Stegostoma tigrinum: one gene and its partners. The protein of the gene in region 1 purifies or fractionates together with the protein of each later gene. This does not show direct contact. Links are inferred from orthologs where the notes say so. Each region holds a gene or a part of one and is shown in the gene's direction. Other genes may lie near its edges. The genes, in order: nedd1, tubgcp3 and tubgcp6.

Region 1 (7,595 bases):
GTGACAGAGGATAAAACTCAGTCACTGGAAGGGTTTACAATTGATGAGAAGTGCAGGATAAACTGTTGGCACTTTAAGTTGATAAAGTACCAGGATAAGAAACATCCAAGGATATTGAAGGAAATTAAGATGGAATTAAAGTGCCAAGCATGTTTCAATTTTTCCTGGATTTGGGGATGGTCCATGTCCCAAACAGGTTGTAAAAAACCGCCCAGCAATTACAGATGAGTCTGTTGAACAGTGTGGTGGGAAAAATCTAGAAAAGAAAAAAAATCAAATTTTTCCATCACATGGAAAACATGGGTTGATTCAGAAGAGTTTGCACGCAGTTTTTAAGGGAAAATTCTGTCTATATTGCTGGTGTTTTTTGAAGAGGTAACAGAAAGGGTTGACACATGACTGTTGATGAGGTATACAGGGACTTTCAGAAGGTGTTTGATACAATGCCATACAACAGATTTGTAAGCTCAGTTATAGGTTATGGATTAAACAGTAGAGTAGCAACATGGATATAAAATTAGCATAGTCCATGGATATTTTTCGGGCTGGTGGAAGGCTTGTAATGGAATTTTCCAGGAGTTGGTATTGGGACACTTGCTTTTCCTAACATATATTATTGATCTGCACTTTGGTGTGAAGCAAGCAATTTCAAAATTTGCAGATGACGCCAAACGTGCAAGAATTGTAAACTGTCAGATGGACAGTGTGGAACTCCAAAAGAACATTGACAAGTTTGTAAAGTACTGTGGGCTAATAAATGATAGATGAAGTTCAACACAGGGAAGTGTGAAATGAGAACTTCGGTACACGGACATTACATTATAAAATAAAGGATAGTATTCTAAAGGACGTGCAGGAGCAGAGAAACCTGGGTGAATATGTACATAAGCCATTAAAGGCAGTAGGACAGGTAAAGAGAGCTGTTAATAAAGGATACAGTATTCTAGTTTTCATTAAAAAATACAGGCATAGGATACAGGCCAGGGAGATTATGATGAACTGAGATAATGGGAACTGCAGATGCTGGAGATTCCAAGATAATAAAATGTGAGGCTGGATGAACACAGCAGGCCAAGCAGCATCTCAGGAGCACAAAAGCTGACGTTTCGGGCCTAGACCCTTCATTATGATGAACTGTTTAGATATAAGACACTGTTAGACCTTAGCTGAAATATTGTGTACAGCTGTGGGCATTAAATTATAGGAAGAATGAGAATGCATTTAAGAGAGCACAGAGGACGTTTATGAGAAGGTTTCAGGGATATGGCTTCAGGTCTGAGGAAAAATTGGAGAAGTTGTGTCTATTTCCTTTGGCAATGAGAAGGCTAAGAGGAAATTTGATAGGTCTGGACAGAGTAAATAGCAAGAAACTGTTCCCATTTGGATTGAGAGCCAGTATATGGATTGAGAACCAGAGGTTTTAAAGTGTTTTACAAAAGAAACAAATGTGAAGTCAGAAAAAGCTTCTTCTCACCATGACTGATTAGGGTCCAAAATGCATGGCCTAAGATATGTTGGATGCTGGTTCAATTGAGGTATTCAACAGGGTATTAGATGATTATTTAAAGAGATACAATGTGCGTTGTTACGGGGGAAAAAACAGGGTATTGGCACTAAGATAAAATGCTCAGTGAGTCAATGCAGACATGATAGGTCAAATAGCCTCCTTCAACACCGTAACAATTTTGAGATTCTGTGAGGAATAGATGCCAGCTAAGGGAAAGTGTACAATATGCTAACTGTGAAGAGTGAACACAAAAGTACATACCTGTGTGACAACAGAGTGATGGAACACGAGGGTAATCAATACACCGATGACTAACAGTAGCCAAGGGAAACACCCATAGTTCCAGAAGTTTACAAGATCTGGTCAAATTGCCAAAATGATAAATGGACTCTTTGAAATCTGCATTTGTAAATTTTATGATCCCTATCTCTATATAACTAATCTTGTGATTACCCAACGTTTATGAATTTCAAATTGCAGCACTTGAGCTACCTTGGGAAAAACTATTATCTTTTAGATGATGTGTGAGTGATAATGGAAACTGCAGATGCTGGAGAATCCAAGATAACAAAGTGTGAAGCTGGATGAACACAGCAGGCCAAGCAGCATCCCAGGAGCACAAAAGCTGATGTTTCGGGCCTAGACCCTTCATCAGAGATGCTCTCTGATGAAGGGTCTAGGCCCAAAACGTCAGCTTTTGTGCTCCTGAAATGCTACTTGGCCTGCTGTGTTCATCCAGCTTCACACTTTGTTATCTTTTAGATGATGTTCCTTTAAGAGCTAAATATGTAAATGAGTCAAGTTACCAGATGGTTTCAGAGGCTCACAGCATTGCTCAACTCTTAACACAAGCTATGTCTAAAGAATATTCTCTACTGAATTTATTAGTTCAGCTGTCAATAACACCACCAGAGATCTCTATGTAAACAATCCCCATATCTCATTTGCACTACATTTAGATAGCACAAAATATTCTTCCATTAAGTCTGCTTTCTCTCCAGGCATGCTGCCAAACCTGCTGAGTTTCTCCAATTTTTTTTGTTTTGGTTTTTCAGCTTCTGCAGTTCTTTCCCTTATTATTACATCCTTTTGCGCTCTAGAGGTTAATACATGGAACAGCCAATGTAAGCTTTTATTGAGGTTAAAAGGCTACAAGAGCACATCCCAGCAATGACCATCAAGGACTGGCTACACCTCACAGTATCGCAGAATTGTGGTAGTGCTGAAGGAGGCGATTCAGCTCATCGCACTTGCATCAGTTCCACTACGGAGTGCCAATTTCTGCCTTTCCCCACTTTGCTAGAAAATGTAAAAAAAATCTCTGGACACTTCTTGTCCACAATACCTGTGATGTGCTTTTTGGTGCTGTAAGCTTTCAGAGAACCTAGGTACACTGTAATTGCTAAGTCCATCTATTATCTGGGTTATCAGCATCTGAAATATTACTGGGGTATTAATAAAGTTAGAGGATACAAGAGTTGTATGATATGGGCTTTCATGTGATGAGCCAGAGATTTCTCTCACTCTGGAGGTCATGCAAAATTCCCAGTACCTTCTTTTTATAAAAGAAGGTTTGCTGGGTAGGCAATTGATCTCACCCTGTCTATACAATCCACAACACAAGAATTGGGAAAGAGTCTGCTATGTTCACTGCAGTTCCTTCCCAGTCACAAATATGGGCTGTGTTGATTTGTTGTGCTTTGGGGCCTGTGCATTAGCTGACCTCCAGCTGCATGAGCCGGTTATGAAATAGTACAAAAACAAAGTTGCTGGAAAAGCTCAGCAGGTCTGGGAGCATCTGTGGAGGAGAAAACTGAGTTAACAGTTCGGGTCCGGTGACACTTCCTCTGTTTTTGTTCCTGATTTACAGCATCTGCAGTTCTTTTGGTTTTTATGTAGTAGCACGCTAAGGTGTGCACTAAGCCTGTGTGGCTGGGCAGTCAGTATGAACAGGTATGCACTGAGTATGAGATAGGAAGAACTGCAGATGCTGGAGACAGAGATAACAGTGTGCGCGTACTGGGCATATAATGGTGTGCACAATACTTAACAGGATTGCACTGGGTATTTACAGGAATGTACTGGGCATGTACTGGTGTGAAGTGGGTATTTACAGGAATGTATTGGGCATGCACTGGGTATTTACAGGAATGCAATGGGCATGCACTGGTGTGTAGTGGGCATTTACAAGAATGTACTGGGCATGTACTGGGTATTTACAGGAATGTACTGGGCATGCACTGGTGTGCAGTGGGCATTTACAGGAATGTACTAGGTATGTACCGGATATTTACAGGAATGCAATGGGCATGTACTGGTGTGTAGTGGGCATTTACAGGACTGCACAGTATTTATGAGCGGCGAAGATCATGAGACAGCGACAAGATGATAATTGGTAACAGACTGCCGGAGAAATTTAGCAGATCTATGAAGACAGAAATGGAGTTAACGTACCGACCTGCGACCTTCCTTCAAAATAGAAGAAGAATGATAAACAGTCTTTAAGGAGCTGAATCGAGAAACATGCACCTGACAGACACTCACCAGCTCGCGACCTCTGGCGCGTCACTAACCAACAGCAAGCGGCGCGCGGCTCCAACTGCTGCCCCTAGGGAAGGGAGGGGCGGAGCCAGCAGAGCTGCGCGCGCACCACGGGAGGATTGCTGTTGGCGCCAAGGCGAGGCTGGAGTCAGGCCTGTCCTGAGCGGTCAGTGAGTGAGGGACCGACCTCGGGTCGGTGATCGGTCAGTGAGGGAGGGAATGAGTGACCGACCTTAGGTTGGTGAGCGGTGAGTTAGTCAGAGAGTGAGTGACCGACCAATCCACCCACCCACCTCCGGCCCGGTGAGCGGTCAGTGAGTGAATGACCCCGACCAAGTGAGAGGTCGCTGAGGAAGTGATCTTGGAAGGAATCGCTAGAGGCCCAGGTCCCCAGCAGAAGCCTCGAAGTGTCAGTCTTGAGCCCATGCCGCTGCTGCTCTAGGCCCCCTGGCCTCCCTCAGATCCCCGGGGGAGCTTCAAGTAAGAGCGGCCTGCCTCACTGAAACTAGCTCGCATCCACCGCCATTCCCACTACCGGTGATCAAGTTCCATCTTCACTTCTAACTTATCAATGTAGAAAAAATTCTGCACCGCCTTGGGAGATTTCGAAGCATTGCAGAGAATGAGTCACTTTCTAGAGCGTAGTCACTGTTGTGATGTTGGAAAGGGGACTGCCAGATTGCGCACAGCGACCTTTCTCAAACAGCAAAGTGATTATCTATGTAATGTAGGTTGTCTTAAATATTGACAGATAACTCAGTTGCTCCTCTTGAAAATGGTGCCATCAGATCTTTTAGAACTACCTGAGCAGGTAGTTCTACCATTAAGTCTCTTTTTAATGTCTTATCTGAATGAAGGCCCTTCAGATAGTGCAACACTGCTTCAAGTACTGGAATGTCAGCTTGTATTTTTGTGCTAATACCTGGAATTGGACTCTGATTCAGAAATGAGTGTTACCAAATGACTCGCAGCTGATGTAAACAATATGACTTTTTTTGTTTTTGTGATTTTGATTGAAGGAATATTTATTAGCGAGCATTTTGAGGAGAATGTAGCTGCTTTGAATTTGGTTGTGTGTTATTTGACTTGTCAGAGAGACAGCCTGTACTTAATGTTCACTAGTTCAATTGGCTGGTTTCTGCTGTAGAGTATTGCCAGCATGTGTGGTTCAATTCCTGCACCAGCTGAACTCTATGAAGGGCTCAATCTTGACCTCACTGCTGTCCAGTGGTGTGGTGAGAGCAGCCATGTGATCCTCTGGGACTATGGAGTCTTAAATTTTACTTAATGTTTTATTGTTAACGTAGCACCATTGAGAGTGCAGCACTCCCATTTGGATTATCAACCAAGATTACAGGCTCACATCTCTGAAATGGAATTTAAATCCCTGTGATTTCTGACTCAAGCAAACACACCTTAGTGGGCTACAATTACAATGTCCACCTCTAATCACAAAACATTGTTAATGCAACAGTTGGGGATCAGTACAGCTGTTTTTGAAACCTGATGAAAATTTGACAAACTTAAATATAGTCAAGACAAAATACGAAATCAATTTAAGTTATAAAACATGAACAAATGCTACTTTATCTACCTATCACACTGACCACTCACCTTTCACTCTACACCCTGCCCACACCTAACTGCTAGCCTAACTCCTCATTCTTCAGTTTTAAAAGCCAGTTATATTGAACTAAAAATGCTAACTCTGTTTCTGTCTGCACAGGCACTGTCAGACCTGCTGAGTTTCTTGAGCACTTTGTGTTTTAAATTAAACACCCTTTATTTTTAGTGCATGTGCACGAAAACTGATGCGTCAAAATTGGCGTTCTCTCTCTTTTAATCTCACCCCAAAGATAGAAATTTATAAAGGTAAATACAAGCAGATTAATTTCAAGGGCATTTACCTCTGTTTGTGGGTTGTGGGTTCAAGTCCTAGTGGACATTTTCCAGACTGTAATCTTTTAATGTACTATCCAGTGGAGTGCTGTAACAGCTGTCTTTTAGATGAGATGTTAAAACAAGCCACTGCCTGTCAACTTAAGATAGATATAAAGGAATGATGGCACAACTTTGAGGAGCAAGAGAGTTCTTTACTGCCTGCTGGCCAGTATTGCAAAAACAGATTTTTCTGGTCATTATCTCACTTTTTTGTGGGAGTTTGCTGTGCACAAATTGGTTTCAATGTTTTGACATTCAAACCTAAATTTAATGACAATTCATAAGTGCTTAAGTGGCTGTGAAGCACTTTGGGACTCCGTAAGATTGTGAAAGGTACAGCATAAATGTAGACCTTTCTGCTTCTTTTGATACTTTTTATTCGCGTGAAAATCTTTTCTAAATTATCTCACTGGGAAAATATTTCTATAAAATTTCCATTATTCACACTATAAATGCACAATAATTTTACAGTGGAAATAAACCTCAGTAATAAATATTTTTCTTAAATTCTTTTTTAAAAAGTCTTCCTTTCATCTCTAATTAGCATTCAAATCCAATACCTATTCAATGTTTGAGAAACTACAGTATATTTTGGTAGCTACCCTATTTCATATGTATCTCATGTTTATATATTGCAGATATACCATGCAGGATAGCATCAAATTAGCCTCATGTGGGGATGACATTAAAATCTGGGATTCGCTTTCAATGACAGTGGTGGAACAGTTTAACCCTCACAAGAAGCCCTGTGAAGTAACTTCCGTTTGCTGGACTGTTGATAATATCCTTTGGAGTTTACTGCTGTCAGTAACTATTCCATTTATGTAATTGTTTGCTATTAGACAGGCCTATGGGAATGAGGATAACTGGCTTGCATTCTAGTTTGATGGGTTCTGAGATAATTGGGATCTGGGAGGTTGAGAGGTGAGCTTCTAAAGACTTATAAAATCATGAGGGGAAGAAATACGGTGAATAGCAAGGTGCACCAGGGAGCGGGAGTCCAAAACTAGGGTGCATGTTTTTAAGGTGAGAGGAGGATGGAGCGTTAGTCCGTGGAATGAACTGCCACAGGAAGTAGTGAATGCAGGTACAGCCTCAACATTTAAAAAAACATTTGGATAAATTCATGATTAGGAAAGATTAGGAGGGGTATGGGCTATACCCCAGCCAAATGTCACTGGCTTGGTTTGGAAACATGAGATAACAAGTTGTAGAGCTGGATGAATACAGCAGGCCGAGCAGGAACACTGACGTTTCAGGCCTAGACCCTTCTTCAGAAATGGGGTGGGGAAGAGGGTTCTGAAATAAACAGGGAGAGAGGAGGACGTGGATAGAAGATGGATAGAGGACAAGATAGGTGGAGAGGAAACAGACAGGTCAAAGAGGCGGGGATGGAGCCAGTAGAAGGAGTCATTGGAAGGATGGTTAGGCTCGCGGTTGAAGAAGTAAGCGCGGAGGTGGTGGAAAAACTGCTGGATGTCCAAATGTGACTGGTATCAGTTGTGCTTCAGGACATGGTCGAGCAGTTTCAAGGACGAAGAGATTATGAGGGCGTTGCAGTGGGAGAGAGATCCACTGAGGTTTTTCCATAGGGAGGAGGGCAACT
Region 2 (6,930 bases), on another chromosome or scaffold:
CTCCAGCAATTTCTGTTTTGGTGCAGAACCCTATTATTTGAAGTTTAAAAGGCCATTATCTCCCCAGCAACAAGGAAATTGCCTGCAAGGGATGGTTATCAGCTGTTAAATATCAATATTTGAGCATGGAAGTCCCAATTGCTGCCATACCTCTACTACCATCTCCTCTGATGGAAAGATGATATATCCCACAGGGTGTGCAGTATGAAACAAGAACAAAGCAGATTCAGGTGTTCACCAAATGAACAGGTACTTCACTTCCTGGCGAATACTTTGCTGATATTTTCAAAATCACACAAGAACTAGAGGGCATAGGTTTAAGGTGAGAGGATAAAGATTTATAACTGACCTGAGAGGTAACTATTTTTTAAACACACAGGGTAATGCGTGTACAGAACGGCTGCCAGATGAAATTGCGTACAATTGCAACATTTAACAGACATCCAGACAAGTATGTAAATAGGAAGGATTTAGAGGGATATGGACCAACTGCTGGCAAACAAAACTAAGTTAGATTGGGATGCCTGGTTGACACAGACAAGTTGGTCTAATTCTGTGCTGTATGACTCCTTCTTCAAGATCTCCTTCACCACAATGTTACAAAAACCTCTTTTTAAACGTCTCTATAAGCCATAAATGTGACCATTTTGAATAGAAGGTTATAGGCCCGAAATGTCAGCTTTCCTGCTCCTCTGATGTGCCTTGGCCTGCTGTGTTCATCCAGCTCTACACCTTCTCAGATTCTGCAGCATCTGCAGTTCCTACTATGTCTTGAATATTATTCTGCCCAGGACCATGTCTTAAAACCCTGACTTTTGAGTCTCTATGAACTTTAAGAATCAGCTGGTTCAAGAATCTGTTGTGCATATCCTAACAGCAACAGGAGCTGTTCATTTAACAACACTACGTCACATGGGCTAAACTGGTTTTCAGTCTGGCAATTTGTTGGTTTTAAAATTCTTATCAGTGTTTTTGAATCCCTCACATCCCCTCACCCCAATAACTTCTTCAAGCCTTAGAATCAATCTGCAACCTCTAATTCTCAAATTCGGGTCTCTCATGTATTTGTTCTTTCATTTACTCTACCATTGGCATTGAAACCTTCAACATGCCTAGGCCCTCAGCTCTAGAACCTCCTCTCGAAACCTCTTCATCCCTTTCTCCTCCTACCTCCCTGACAAGCCTTTTATTATTTGCCCCCATACATCTTTACATGGATCGGTATCAAATATTGACAGATAATCCTTCACAAAGCATCTTCAGACTGTTTCATATGTTAAAGACATAGTACAAAGCAATGTTACTTTTGTTCTTGCTTAGATTTGTCTGGATGCTTAAATGTTCACTGAAGCTTTTTGAAATTTTATGGGTTAGGGAGGAAGATGGTCCTGAATAGATCTTTTGTCCATGTCTTATGTTTCTGGGACTGAGCCCTGGAAAATTTGGGATCACAAGCTTATTTTGATGCTGTCACAGTCAGTCTCCAGTGTTGTGGCTGCCTAGATGCTAGAAAGCAAAACAGAACACCAACTAACACTTCATCATACTGGCTTCTGGAGTGAAGTCTAATTTTTATTGATTTTCTTTGGTGCAACAGATTTAATAAATATAATCAACAGATAATTCAGCTGATTGTATATCTAAAATTGCAGAGAGAGATGTTATCTAATGATAACCAGCAACCTCAATTTTCAAAATATGTTAAATATGGTGAAGGATTATAGGAAAATCAGGATTAAATCTAATATTCAGTAAATTAAAATTGAAAAACAACTTTTGCAATTCTTAAATACAGTGTATTTAATCAATGAAACACTAATATGTTAAATTGACAACACAATCCTACATATTTTCACTGTTTAAAAAAAGCACTGGATCGTGACACATGTCTCCAAAACACAGTCCCCAAGAAAGTTTTTGAAAAGTGAATCTCTGATCTTCCCTTGGCTTTCAATCAGTAAACTTCTATAATGAAAGTCTTTCTGTAAAAGTGTCACATGAATAACCTTTATGTCCATGGGGAAGCTTGAGATGAGACAATGAGGCACCAAGACACTTACATTACAATAAATGTAACAATGCCTAAAAGTATTTTGAAACCAAATCAGAGGTAAGTCATTTTCCTTGGATTTGTTTCAGATTTTAAAATGACAAAGATTAAGGGCACTTAATCAGAGAGGAAGAGAATAACAAAATTAACAGCAATTACATCAGTACGTACTGGAAGTTGAGCAGGCAGTGAATCTCAGAAGTCAAATGAATTGTGACCAATTAATTTATTAATAGTTAATGTGAAAGAGAGAAAAGGTTGCCGTACAACTATTGGTTTGTGGTTCATTCATGCCCTTTACAGAAGGAATTCTATTGTACTGACCAGGGCTGGCTGACCTAGATGTCCAGCTGTGACCTCTTAAGACTAAATTTCTACTCAAGTCTGAAGTAAGAGTGCTTCACACTGGACATAACAGCTTTTCAGAGGTGTTGGCAGGAGGGGCTAATTTAGTTTGAGATTACGTTCATCAGGTTGGACCAAAGGGCCTGTTTCTGTGCTGTATGACTTTGAGTTGTTAAACTGAACACGCATTTGTCTTCTAAGGGTTACGTAAAAGATTTCATTGCACTATTTTTAAGATGAGCATTTATTGTCAGAGATGACAAGGTGTAGAGCTGGATGAACACAGCTGGCCAAGCAGCATCAGAGGAGCAGGAAAGTTGACGACACCAATGCTGCCTGGCCTGCTGCGCCTCTGCAGCTCCATACTGTGTCAAGTCTGACTCCAGCATCTGCAGTTCTTGCTACCTCTGATAAGGTTCGCTTTCCCTCCCTTATAAATGTGACTCCAAACCCACGGCAATGTTACTGACACAGAGCTATCACTTGAAATGACCCATTGTTACCATCAGGGATGAGCAATAAATGGCAGGCTCATCAACCAACACGGATAAACTTAAAACAACACCTGCATCAAAATACAAGGAAACAGTGTGCAGGATGTTTAAATCGCAGCAAGAAAACCTCACAACGAATTTTCAAAGTGTGAGGCACAGGACGATGGCTGCGGGAAGATTAACAAAAGCCAGCTCCACCCTCAGCAGGCCGCCAGTAACCATGGAAACGGCATCTTCCCCTCACAGCCTTGCCTTCACCGAGAGGCTCTTCCTCGTGCCAGCTGTTACCTATTTCACCCCGCCCACTCCACGACACTGCCCTATAACCCGCCATATCATTGCACGGCCTACTTCACGAGCAACCCAGTCATCGCCAGGTTCCGAAGGATAGCCCCGCCCCCCTATTAACGACCCGCCACCCGTCCGCAGGCTCTGTCCCTTTTTACCTCACCTCTCTCCGACTGCCCCGCCCACATCTTAATACCTCACCGCTGTCCGACTGCGCCGTCCATACTGGCCCCGCCCACTCCATGCTCCGCGCCCGTCATCATTGGACCCACCTTCTTCCCCACACTTCCGCATCCCAGATAACAAGATGTAGAGCGGGATGAACACCGCAGGCCAAGCAGCATCATAGGAGCAGGAAGGCTGACATTTCGGGCCGTGACCCTTAATCAGAGGGTCTAGGCCCGAAACGTCAGCTTTTGTGCTTTTAAGATGCTGCTTGGCCTGCGGTGTTCATTCAGCTCCACACTTTGTTATCTCGGATTCTCCGGCATCTGCAGTTCCTATTATCTACGATACTACTTCCACCTCCCACTCCGTCCCCGCCCCTGCACAGGACCCCACCCATCCATTGTTACTTGTCTCCGCCCACTCGCCGCTAACCCTATCCTGACCACGCTCCCATCACATAGCCCCGCCCACGCAACGTTCTGGCCAGCCGCTGCACCCTCCTGACTCCACCTACTCGGCGCCGTGCTTGCGTCTGGTCCTCAGACCCCGCCCATCTCCTCGCAGCGGATTGTACCCCCTGACCAGGAAGTGGATGTTTGTAGTTCCGTTGCAATGCCGCGGGCTCTTAAAAAAATGGCGCCCTTGGCGCCGGGTCGGAGCTAAGACGGAACCGGGATTGAACCTGGGCGAACTGTGGAAAAGCCGAGGCAACGGCTCCGACCCGGGAACTGGGTCTCCTAGAACAGGACAGTGGGAGGCCCGGCGATGGCGACTGTGGATCACAAGTCCCCGAATCTACTGTTGCAAAGCCTGTGCTGCCGGATCCTGGGCCGCAATGAGGGTGAGTAGGGCCGGGGGCTGGAGGTTGTGAAGCCGGAGACTTGCTGGTCTGGCCTGGCATGGCCTGGCGACAGTGAGGTAGGGATGTGTCGACAGCGAATCAGCCCTGGTGAGAATGAAAAACAAGCCCAGGTGGAGTGAGGGAATGATGTACGGACGTGCAGGGGAGGCGTTAGATGGGTTATGTTTGCAGGTGGAATTGAGCGGCTCGAATGGTGGCTTGTTTTCTTGAGGGGCTAAGCGTACAGCAACGTCAAGGATGTTGGAGAGGGACAAGATTAGAAGGTTTTTCTCACGTTGGCGGCAATGAAATTGAGAGGAGTAAAATTCGAGTCCTCCAATCGGAAATCCAGCTGAGTAGAGATTGGGTTGCTCACGATTATAATAGTGCCAGACAATATAGGGATAGTGAGAGTCCTGTAGTATCACCGGGGATAGGAGGAGTAATTAAATTGAGGAGATGGTATCAGAAGAAAGAGTTCAGGTTTTTGGAATCTAAACAGAATCTGGGTAAATCGAATGTAGCTGGAGAAAAGGCAAAGTTAACATTCAGTTGTAAGACAAGAAAGTTGTTTGGTGTATCAGAACAATACTGGTCTTCATTGAGTAATCCAATCAATTCTGTTCCCTTTTTCTGTCCCTGTAGCTTTGCTGGTTTACTTTTCTTTATTGCCATCCTTATTCCTTGTGAAATTACTAGTTATCTCCACTTCTATGACCCTCATACACAGTGGGATCCAGATTATGAGCATTCAGTATGCAAAGATATTTTTCCTAAGACTTTTTGTTTATCATTCATTCATATTACTCTTCCAGTTTTATCTGGTTAGATTCTCCTCATCTCATTGAAATTAGTTGCCCTCCAATTTGGAAACTTCATTTTAGATTATTGCTTTCTGTTGTCCATTACTACTTAATCTATAATTAATATCATGTTCCCTATAAGTTATATGAACTCATTCCCTGGCACCAGAAATTTCACTTTGAGTTGCAGTGAACATACAAATTCGGACATTTTGGTTAAGCAAGCATGTTCCACCATCAGTAACACCATGGCTGTTCCGCCTGGCCTCAGCACCACCTTTCTGTCTCATCCCTAAACCTGTTGATTTCCTTTTCAGTCAAGAATCTGTCTAACTCAGCCTTAAAAATATTTAGTGATTGTGCTTCCCCTTTTTGGGGAAGAGAAATCTGGGGACTAAGCTTCTTTTAAGAGATTCTTCTATTCTGCGTCATAATTGAGAGAATCCTCATTTTTAACCTGTGCCTGCTGGCTCCAATCTCTCCTACAAGTGGAACTATCCTTCCTGCATCCACCCTGTTAATTTCCGTCGATACTAAATGTTTCATTAAGATCAACTCTCATTCTTCTGTACCCCAACGGATATAGGGCTGACATGTCGAACCTTTGCTCAGAGGATAATGTTTTATCCCAAGAATTGATCAAGTTAACTTTGCACTGTTTTAATCCAGTTACATTCTTTCATAAGCATGACCAAACTGTTTGCACTTTTCCACTTGTGGTGTCACAAACAGACTGTATAACTAGAAAATTTGGAATATGTGAGAAAGCTAGATAGAAATGTAAGAACAAACATTGGGTTTCTATAGATATTTAGAAAGGAAAAATGGTAAAAGAAAATTGTTGGCACTAAGGAAGTCAGTTTAGGGAATTACTTATCAAAAATAAGGAAATGACAGATTACTTAAGCAGGTAATGTTGCAGTACTTTTCACAAGTGGGTACGAATAACATGTCAGAAATGTGTGTATATCAAAAATGGAAAACAGAAGGGACCTTTGGAAAGTTATATCAAGTGTGTTGTACTGAGTAAATTGTTGGATCTGCAGACTATCCAATTCCTAGGTACTGTGAACCTTATCCTAGGGACGTACAGGAAATAGCTAGCAAGGTAATTAACATGCTATTTTGTTTTTCCAAAATTCTCTCGACTTGAAGTTTCATTTGATTAGAAAATAGCAAGTGGAGCTTCTTTATTCAAAGTTGACAACAGAAAGCAGGAAAGTGCATGCCATTTAGCTTAACGTATGTCAAAAAGAGGATGCTGGAAGCTATTAATGAATATGTTAGTGTGGCTGTTTGAAAAATTTAAGATAATCGGAATGTGTCAACAAGGCTTTGTCCAAGGGAAATCATTTTTAAACAATTTGTTGTAACTGTTTGTGGAGGTTAACATGCTGTGGAGAAAACAGATCTAGCGGATGTGTTGCAGTTGGTTTTCCAAATAGCATTTGTAAGGTGCTGTGTCAAATGTTTTTGCAGAAAATATAATATCACAGTGTGGGGAAAGGAATGCATTGGCATACATAAGAGCTTGGCTGGCTAACAGGCGACAATAAGCATATATGTGTCACTTTCAGGTTTGCAAGATGCAACAAGTAGTGTACCAGAAACAAGTTGTGATCTCAACCTTTTACAATTTGTGTCAGTTATTTTGAAGGAAAGGATGAAAGATATGGTTGCTAAATTTGCTAATGACACTGTAGTAGTTAGCAAAGTAAATTATGAAGTAGACAGAGGACATAACTTAAACAAGTGGACAAAGGTCTGACAAATAGAGTTTTAAGTGGGAAAAGTGAAATTATCCATTTTGGGAGCAAAAGTTGGGGAAAAAGGGCAGATTATAGAGATTATGAAGGATTGCAGAGTTCTTGTTATGCAGAGATATCTGGGTGTGCTAATGCATGAAATGCAAAAGGTTACTATGCATAACAGCAAGTAATA
Region 3 (7,987 bases), about 25 Mb from region 1:
GGTGTAACCGTACCTGCATCTACCACTTCCTCTGGCAGTTTATTCCACATATGAAGCAACCTGTGTGTGTGTAGGGGGAGAAGTCGCCCTTCAGGTCCCTTTTAAATCTTTCTACTCTCACCTTAAAAATATGTCCCCAGTTTTGAGCTGTCCCACCCTAGGGGAAAAAAGACTTTTGCCATTCACCCTAACTATGCCCCTCCTGATATTATAAACCTCTATAAGATCACCCCTCAACCTCCCACACTTGAGTGAAAAAAGTCCCAACCTATCCAGCCTCTCCTGATAATGCAAACCCTCCAGTCCCAGCAACATCAAGGTAAATCTTTTCAGAACTTGTTTGACACCCAAGTATTTAAACAGTGAGGTAGAAAGAAATTCAGACTTGCTGGGTTTCAGGTACATAATACTTATCCTCGCTAAAATACCTCAATTTAGTAGGCTATGCACAATTACTTCAGTTTTCCCAATATTTAGTTATCTAGTTCCAGATGTTAGATAAACAGTCTGATAATTTAACAACAGTGGAAAAATCATGATAGGAGGTGGTAAGGAACAGCCAACTGGCAGATTATGTGCTGGGCTTTCAGGTCATATTGTCATGGAGCAGAATGTAGATGAGAAACAGAGGGATTAAAGACAAATTCTCAAAGAATATCAAAGGTAATGACATGAGTGGGATGATGGTACTTGTGCATCACTGGGAAGATCGGCAATTGCTTCCCAATCCTAATTATCCTTGAACCAATTGGCTTGCAAGGCTATTTCAGAGAGCAGTTAAGTGTCAAACACATTACTGTGGATTTGGAGTTACTTGTACATGAAATTGGGCAAGGATGCCCTTCCCTAAAGGATATGAGTGAACCAAACTGGGTTTTTACAACACTACGATTATGCAAAGAGGCTTTTAATTCCAGCATGTTTTATTAGTTACAGTTAAATTCTGCCCACTGCCAAAGTGGGATTTGAACCAGTGCCTCGAGATCATTGACAGGTATCACTGGATTGTTATTCCAGTGAGAACACCAACTGTCATGCTTTGAAAGTGATTTGCATTAAGTAGACAAAATTAAAACCAGGAGTCAAGCACGGTCCCATTCAACTGTATCACACTGGAAAGACCTTAGGGGAGAATGGTGCACTGAACTGCTTAAATTTAAATTTGCTTCATGTCAAATCAAGAATTGATTATGTTTAAACATTTACCTGTTTAAAGTGCTCCCTAAAAATTTCAATTTAAAGCAAGAGTATTAACTGCTTTAGAAACATAAAACAACATATTACAGCACTTACAAATCCCACAGCAGGCTGTAGTTCTTCATCTGTTCATTGTAGATCAACCCTGTTCTCAATGCCATGACTGAAGAAATAAAAATACATTGATTTATTTTGGATTGAGTGACAATTTTAACATTAAAATATATTTTAAGAGCAGAAGATCAGAAGATGTGGAAGCAAAAGTAGGCTATTCAGCCCATCAAGTCTGCTCTACCATTCAATGGAATCACGTCAGATCTGATAATCATCAATCAGCTTTCTTGGCTTTTCCCCATGACGTCCATTCCCTTGCTAATCAAAAGAAAATCTCTCATTCTTGAATATCCTCAATACTCAACATGCAACCTTGAATACACTCTGCGGCAGTAAAGAATGCCACAAATTCACAACTCCCAGAAGAAATTCCTCCTCATCTTCATTTTGAATATGCAATCGCTTATTCAGAGATTACAAACTGTGACCGTAGGGTCCCCACAAGAGGAAACAACCTGCCCACATCTAAACTATCATATCCTTAGAGGATTGTGTGTGTTAGATAGAGGCAAATGTAAATTTATAAGGGTCGAAGATTTGACGTTTCAATTAAATTTGAAGATACATTTTTTCAAACTCACCTTCTGCCTGTCTCAAGCAAAAGCAGTTTAGGAATGAGATGTGGAAGATCCGTGAAATGTCATGTTTTGCACCCCATTTCGTTTTAATTGTTAACTGACCTTTTCTTGTCACTCGGATTCTTAATTTCTTTGGCTAAATCTCAAACAAAATACCTCACATGTGCTAAACACTGTACCGTTACTCGGAACTTTTTATTGAACACCACCTCCCAGACAACTACGTGCAAAAAGCTGTGAACTAATTTCTTCCAAACCTAAATCTCCTTGCAGGACATATTCCAGTAAACTTCTCACCAATTTTGAGAGTCGGGTGTGCTCAATCTCTCCATTGGATGCGTTAATGAAACACGCTTATTCTTAATCAAAGATAACAGTGTGGAGCTGGAGGAACACAGCAGGCCAGGCAACATCAGAGGAGCTGGAAGGTTGACATTTCGGGTTGGGACCCTTCTGCAGAAATGGGGAGGGTGAAGGGAGCTCAGAAATAAATAGAGGAGGGGTGGGTCTGGGGAAGGTAGGTGGGATGGCGATGGTGTTTGTAGGTAGGGAGTGGTGGGGTGGATAGGTGGGAGAGAAGATGGACAGGTTGCGTCAGGTCAAGGAGGCGAGGGATGAGAGGGAGGCTTGGACATAGGATGAGGCTGAGGGTGGGGAGGTTTTAAAACTAGTGAAATCCAAGTTCAGGCCATCAGAATGTAGGCTCCCCAAGCTGAATATGAGATGCTGTTCCTCCAGTTTGCGGTGGAGTCAGTGACACTGGAGGAGTCCCAGGATGGACATATAACCCAGGGAGTAGGAGGGGGGAAGCTAAAATGGTTCATAACCAGAAGGTGTTGTCATTTGTCACATACAGAGCACAGAAACTCTACAAAATAGTCTCAGAGTCTCCACTTGGTGTCAGCGATGTACAGGAGGCCACATCAGGAGCAGTGGCTGCAGTAGAGATGGATGTGGAGATGAACCCCTGTCTAATGTGCAAGGTTTGTTTTGTGCCTTGCATGGAAGTGATGGTGGGGGAGAAGGAAGATGACATAGGGGCAGATGTAGCCCTTCTTGCAGTTGCAGGGAAGGGTGCCGGGGTGAGATGGACTACTCTCACGACTACTAACCCTACGAAAGGCAGATGGGGTGAGGAGGGAAATATCTCTTTGATTGTGGGTGGCAAAAGTGGTAGAGAATGATACTTTGGATGCGGAGGTTAGTGAGGCGATATGTGAGGACAAGGGGGATTCTGTCTTTACTTTTGCTGGGGGGGGCATGGGGGGGGGGAAGAGATGTGAGGGCAGAGGCGCAGGAAACACAAGAGATGCGGTTGAGGGCATTTTTGATCGCCAGAGGGGACAAGTTACAATCCTTGAAATAGAAGGGCATCTGGGATGTGCAGGAGTGGATCGCCCCATCTTGGGAGCAGATGTGGCAGAGGCAGAGGAGTTGGGAGTAGGGGATGACATGCTTGCTGGAAGGTGGGTGAAAGGAGGTGTAGTCAAGATAGCTGTGGAAGTCAGGGGGGCATGTCAGTTTTGAAGCAGTTACCAGTGACGGAGACAGAGGTGTCCAGGAAGAACCCGATGTCCTCCTGTTTCAAGGATTGTAACTTTCCCCCTTTAGTGATTGAAAATGCCTTCAACTGCATTTCCTGCACCCATGTATGTATACAGTTTTTGTGTATTTCCCCTGAGCTGCAGTTTCTGTGATCCAAGAAAGAAGCAAGTGATCCTGAAATCGGCACAATTGTACAGAAATCACACTTTTTAAAAAACATCATAAAAGTCCCCAACAGATATATAAAATGACAGTGCAGTTGCTCTTCTTAAAAAGCTAGAACTTACAGAGAGACCAGTGGTAACAGTATTGCAGCAGCTGAGGGCCCAGATCGGGAAGATCATCAGACCAGGGCAGAGAAGGACAATCGACAGGAATAGGACAGCGATCGGACTGAGGGCTTGGAACAGGGCAGCTGGCAGTCAGGGGCCTAGCCAGGTCAAACTGTCACCGATGGCAGCCTAGCATAAATGAGAGTATGACACACGTGTGGAAAGCCCCCAGTGTGGAATAAATGCAGGTTATAGAGGACTAAAATGTTTACCACAGAATTTTTCTTTATTTTCCATGTTTATACTATGAAAAACTGAAATGTAGAACTTTGTCTATTTTGTAGCTAACCTATGTTAATATTTAAACTTTGGAACTAGGTACTTTGTACCTAAGATGGCATTGTGTGGTAACATCGTACACTTTTTCTATACATTTGTACTTGAATATACATGACAATAAAACCTAATTCTGGTATAGTGAAACTTGGATAAGGCAAAAGAAAAGGCCGAAGATTCTACTAAAATAAAAGCAAAATACTCCAGATGCTGGCAATCTGAAAGTAAAACAAAGTGCTGAAGAAATTTGTCGACAAAGTCAGAAGTCCCACAATACTAGGTTATGGTCCAACAGGTTTATCTGAAGTCATAAGGTTTTGGAGTGCGGCTCCTTCTTCAGGTGAAAACGAAGGAGCAGCGCTTTGAAAGCTTGCGACGTCTGACTTTGTACACCCTAGTCCAACACCAGCACCTTTACATCACGGCTGACATATGCGCAGAAGGGAACACGGTGTACATTTCGAGTCTGATACGACTTTCCCCTCGGATGAATTCCCACCCTTACTGTCTCAGATCTATTTACCCCTTCTCTAAAAGTGTACTTCAAAAGTAAAAGTCCTCACGAGTACAGTGCAAAACATTTCAGAGAAATACAACACTGCTCCATCGCACATGTTGCATTAGCAGTTGCTACTCTCCAAACGTAAGGCACGCGAGCCGGACAAAGACGATGATACAAACCCGCAACGCAACTTCTCAGAGATCAGCACTTCCGGAGGTCAACACCCGCGACTCCAGCGGAAATGATATCTGATTGGCAGCAGATGCAACCAGTGGAAGGAGGAGTCTTAACCGACCGTCCAATAGTAACACAGCGCGCCGAGGGTTGAGTTATTCGACTGGTTGATGGGGTGAAGGAGGCGGAGACACGGTGGCGGGGAACAGCTGCTGTTTGACGGTTGGAGAGCGGCGGCTGGTTGGTACAATGCTCCTGGAATGGAGTTTTCGTAGCGTAGTATAGCACAGCTCTCCGGTTAGACGTGAGGGGCCTGTCTCTGAGCTGATATTGAAAACTCCCGTTACTCTCCACACGGAGAGGGCTGCCTGCTGAACGGTTCCAGCGTTCTCTGCTCTGGCCTCTTCCTGTGCTGGATCCTCCCGTTGGCTAAAGCCTCAGTGGTTATAACGCGAGTTGCTGCAGGAACGCAGCAGGTCTGGCAACACCTTGGGGGAGAAAGCAGAGTTAACGTTTCGAGCCCGGTGAATCTTTCATCAGAACCAACTGCTTCTTCGTGGATGGAGTGATGCTGCGTCTAGCCTTCCTCCCGTAATGTGCCCTTCACGGATACCGCGCAGAGGTATATATGACCATTATGTCTACGACAGGATGTCGGCGTCTTGTCAATGTGTAATACATCCCCCTAATTGGGAGGTAAGGGGCTGCAAACCGTAATAATTTCGCCCCAGCTTTTCACAATTGCACAGCCAATTGGTGGGGTAATCAAAGATGACAGAATCCCCGACAGTGTGGAAACGTGGTAATAAAATGTGAGGCTGGATGAACACAGCAGGCCAAGCAGCATCTCAGGAGCACAAAAGCTGACGTTTCGGGCCTAGACCCTTCATCAGTGTGGAAACGTGTGCAGTTTTGCTCTCCTGATCAGAGGAAGGATGTTCAATCAACGGAGGGACTGCAACACAACAGGTTTACCTCACTGATTGTATCCGTCTGAAGAAAGAGAGTTATTGTTCTGGGTTTGGTGCCTCTTTTTCAGAAAAGATGCTACCAGACCTGCTGAGTTTTGCGAGCAATTTCTATTTTTGCTTCAGAGATCGGTCTGAAGTTCTTTGTTTCAATTTACTAGGCTGAGCCCTGGACTGCGGGACCGATGTATGAAGAGCGACGTGTTCGGCTAGGACTATATGTACTGGAGTTTAGGAGAATGAGCAGGGATCACGTTGGAACCTATAAAACTCTAGTGGGACTAAACAGAATAAATGCATGAAGGATGTTCCAAATGATTGGGAAGTTCAGAATCAAGAATCACAGTCTAATGATAATAAAGTGTGAAGCTGGATGAACACAGAAGGCCAAGCAGCATCAGGAGCTCAAAAGCTGACATTTCAGGCCGAGACCCTTCATCAGAGAGGGGGATGGGGTGAGAGTTCTGGAATAAATAGGGAGAGGGGGGAGGCGGACCGAAGATGGAGAGAAAAGAAGATAGGTGGAGAGGAGAGTATAGGTGAGGAGGTAGGGAGGGGATAGGTCAGTCCAGGGAAGACGGAGAAGTCAAGGAGGTGGGATGAGGTTAGTAGGTAGGAAATGGAGGTGCGGCTTGAGATGGTAGGAAGGGATGGGTGAGAGGAAGAACAGGTTAGGGAGGCAGAGGCAGGCTGGGCTGGTTTTGGGATGCGGTGGGGTAAGGGGAGATTTTGAAGCTGGTGAAGCCCACATTGATACCATTGGGCTGCAGGGTTCCCAAGCAAAATATGAGTTGCTGTTCCTGCAACCTTCGGGTGGCATCATTGTGGCACTGCAGGAGGCCTATGACGGACATGTCATCTATAGAATGGGAGGGGGAATTAAAATGGTTTGCGACTGGGAGATGCAGTTGTTTATTGCGAACCGAGCGGAGATGTTCTGCAAAGCGGTCCCCCAAGCCTCCGCTTGGTTTCCCCAATTTAGAGGAAGCCACACCGGGTACAATGGATACAGTATACCACATTGGCAGATGTGCAGGTGAACCTCTGCTTAATGTGGAAAGTCATCTTGGGGCCTGGGATGGGGGTGAGGGAGGTTCGTCCCCTCCCCCCACTGCATCACGCAACCAGCCCAGCTCATCCCCTCCCCCCATTGCATCCCAAAACCAGCCCAGCCTGTCTCTGCCTCCCTAACCTGTTTTTTCCTCTCACCCATCCCTTCCTCCCACCTCAAGCCGCACCTCCATTTCCTACCTACTAACCTCATCCCACCTCCTTGACCTGTCTGTCTTCCCTGGACTGACCTATCCCCTCCCTGCTTCCCCACCTATACTCTCCTCTCCACCTATCTTCTTTTCTCTCCATCTTCGGTCTGCCTCCCTCTCTCTCCCTATTTATTCCAGAACACTCACCCCATCCCCCTCTCTGATGAAGGGTCTCGGCCTGAAACGTCAGCTTTTGTGCTCCTGAGATGCTGCTTGGCCTTCTGTGTTCATCCAGCTTCACACTTTATTATCTTGAATTCTCCAGCATCTGCAGTTCCCCTTATCTCTCACGGTCTAATGATATGGGTAGGCCATTTAGGACTGAGATTAGAAATTTTTTGGCCCAGAGAGTGGTGAGCATGTAGAATCCTCTCTTTCAGAAAGTGGTTGAGGCCAAAGCATTGAAAGTTTCCAAGAAGGTGTTGATTTCGCTAAAGGGATCAAAGTGTTTAAGGGGAAAGGGGGAGCACCGTATGGAGTTGGTGATCAGATGTGATCATATTGAATGGTTGGGGGGTTGCTGAATGACTTGCTCCTGCTCCTGTTTTACAGAAATAGGAACTGCAGATGTTGGAGAATCTGAGATCATGACCTTTTCTGCTCCTAAGATGCTGTTTGGCCTGCTGAGTTCATCCAGCTCTACACCTTGTTACCCCTGCACCTGTTTTCTTCATTTTCAAAGTTTCCGCTTCTCATTTGTGTTGGCTGTATATTTTGCACTTCAGAATGGTAAACCTGAAAATGAAATACTTCTAAAATTGTGATTGTAATTGAGGTAATACTGAATGTTCTTTTTGTCATTAGGAAATTGATGTACATAATTTACGTAACCTGTCTAAATCTTGATTTGGAATGAAAAATAAAATCTACATGTTCACCTCCCCTATGACTCTAACTCTAATTTTTTTGTTGCTACCAGGGCATTTACTTTTCTGGGTATAGCTGCCTATCACTTTGTCCAAGGGAATCCAATTTGTGAAAAAAAAATTAAGGAGAAGAAACATGAATAAGGCCGTTGTCATCTAGCTCTCTGCTTTTT

What was found.
Region 2: the proteins of nedd1 (region 1) and tubgcp3 purify together in Homo sapiens (affinity purification with mass spectrometry; 3 studies listed by BioGRID and IntAct, with this or other methods). This does not show direct contact. The link is inferred for Stegostoma tigrinum from reciprocal best matches to the Homo sapiens genes NEDD1 and TUBGCP3.
Region 3: the proteins of nedd1 (region 1) and tubgcp6 purify together in Homo sapiens (affinity purification with mass spectrometry; 3 studies listed by BioGRID and IntAct, with this or other methods). This does not show direct contact. The link is inferred for Stegostoma tigrinum from reciprocal best matches to the Homo sapiens genes NEDD1 and TUBGCP6.

Annotation. Positions count from the first base shown.
Region 1 is NC_081378.1:52,287,760-52,295,354, forward strand, and holds the start of nedd1 (protein NEDD1), read left to right. Parts: upstream 1-4,559; 5' UTR 4,560-4,704; coding exon 4,705-4,775; intron 4,776-4,804; exon of another isoform or gene 4,805-6,322; intron 6,323-6,627; coding exon 6,628-6,770; intron 6,771-7,595. UniProt on the Homo sapiens protein: Required for mitosis progression. Promotes the nucleation of microtubules from the spindle.
Region 2 is NC_081359.1:13,324,892-13,331,821, forward strand, and holds the start of tubgcp3 (gamma-tubulin complex component 3), read left to right. Parts: upstream 1-3,909; 5' UTR 3,910-4,110; coding exon 4,111-4,186; intron 4,187-6,930. UniProt on the Homo sapiens protein: Component of the gamma-tubulin ring complex (gTuRC) which mediates microtubule nucleation.
Region 3 is NC_081378.1:27,678,678-27,686,664, forward strand, and holds the start of tubgcp6 (gamma-tubulin complex component 6), read left to right. Parts: upstream 1-4,913; 5' UTR 4,914-5,340; intron 5,341-7,987. Other genes in the region: polyamine deacetylase HDAC10, read right to left, coding at 1,294-1,358. UniProt on the Homo sapiens protein: Component of the gamma-tubulin ring complex (gTuRC) which mediates microtubule nucleation.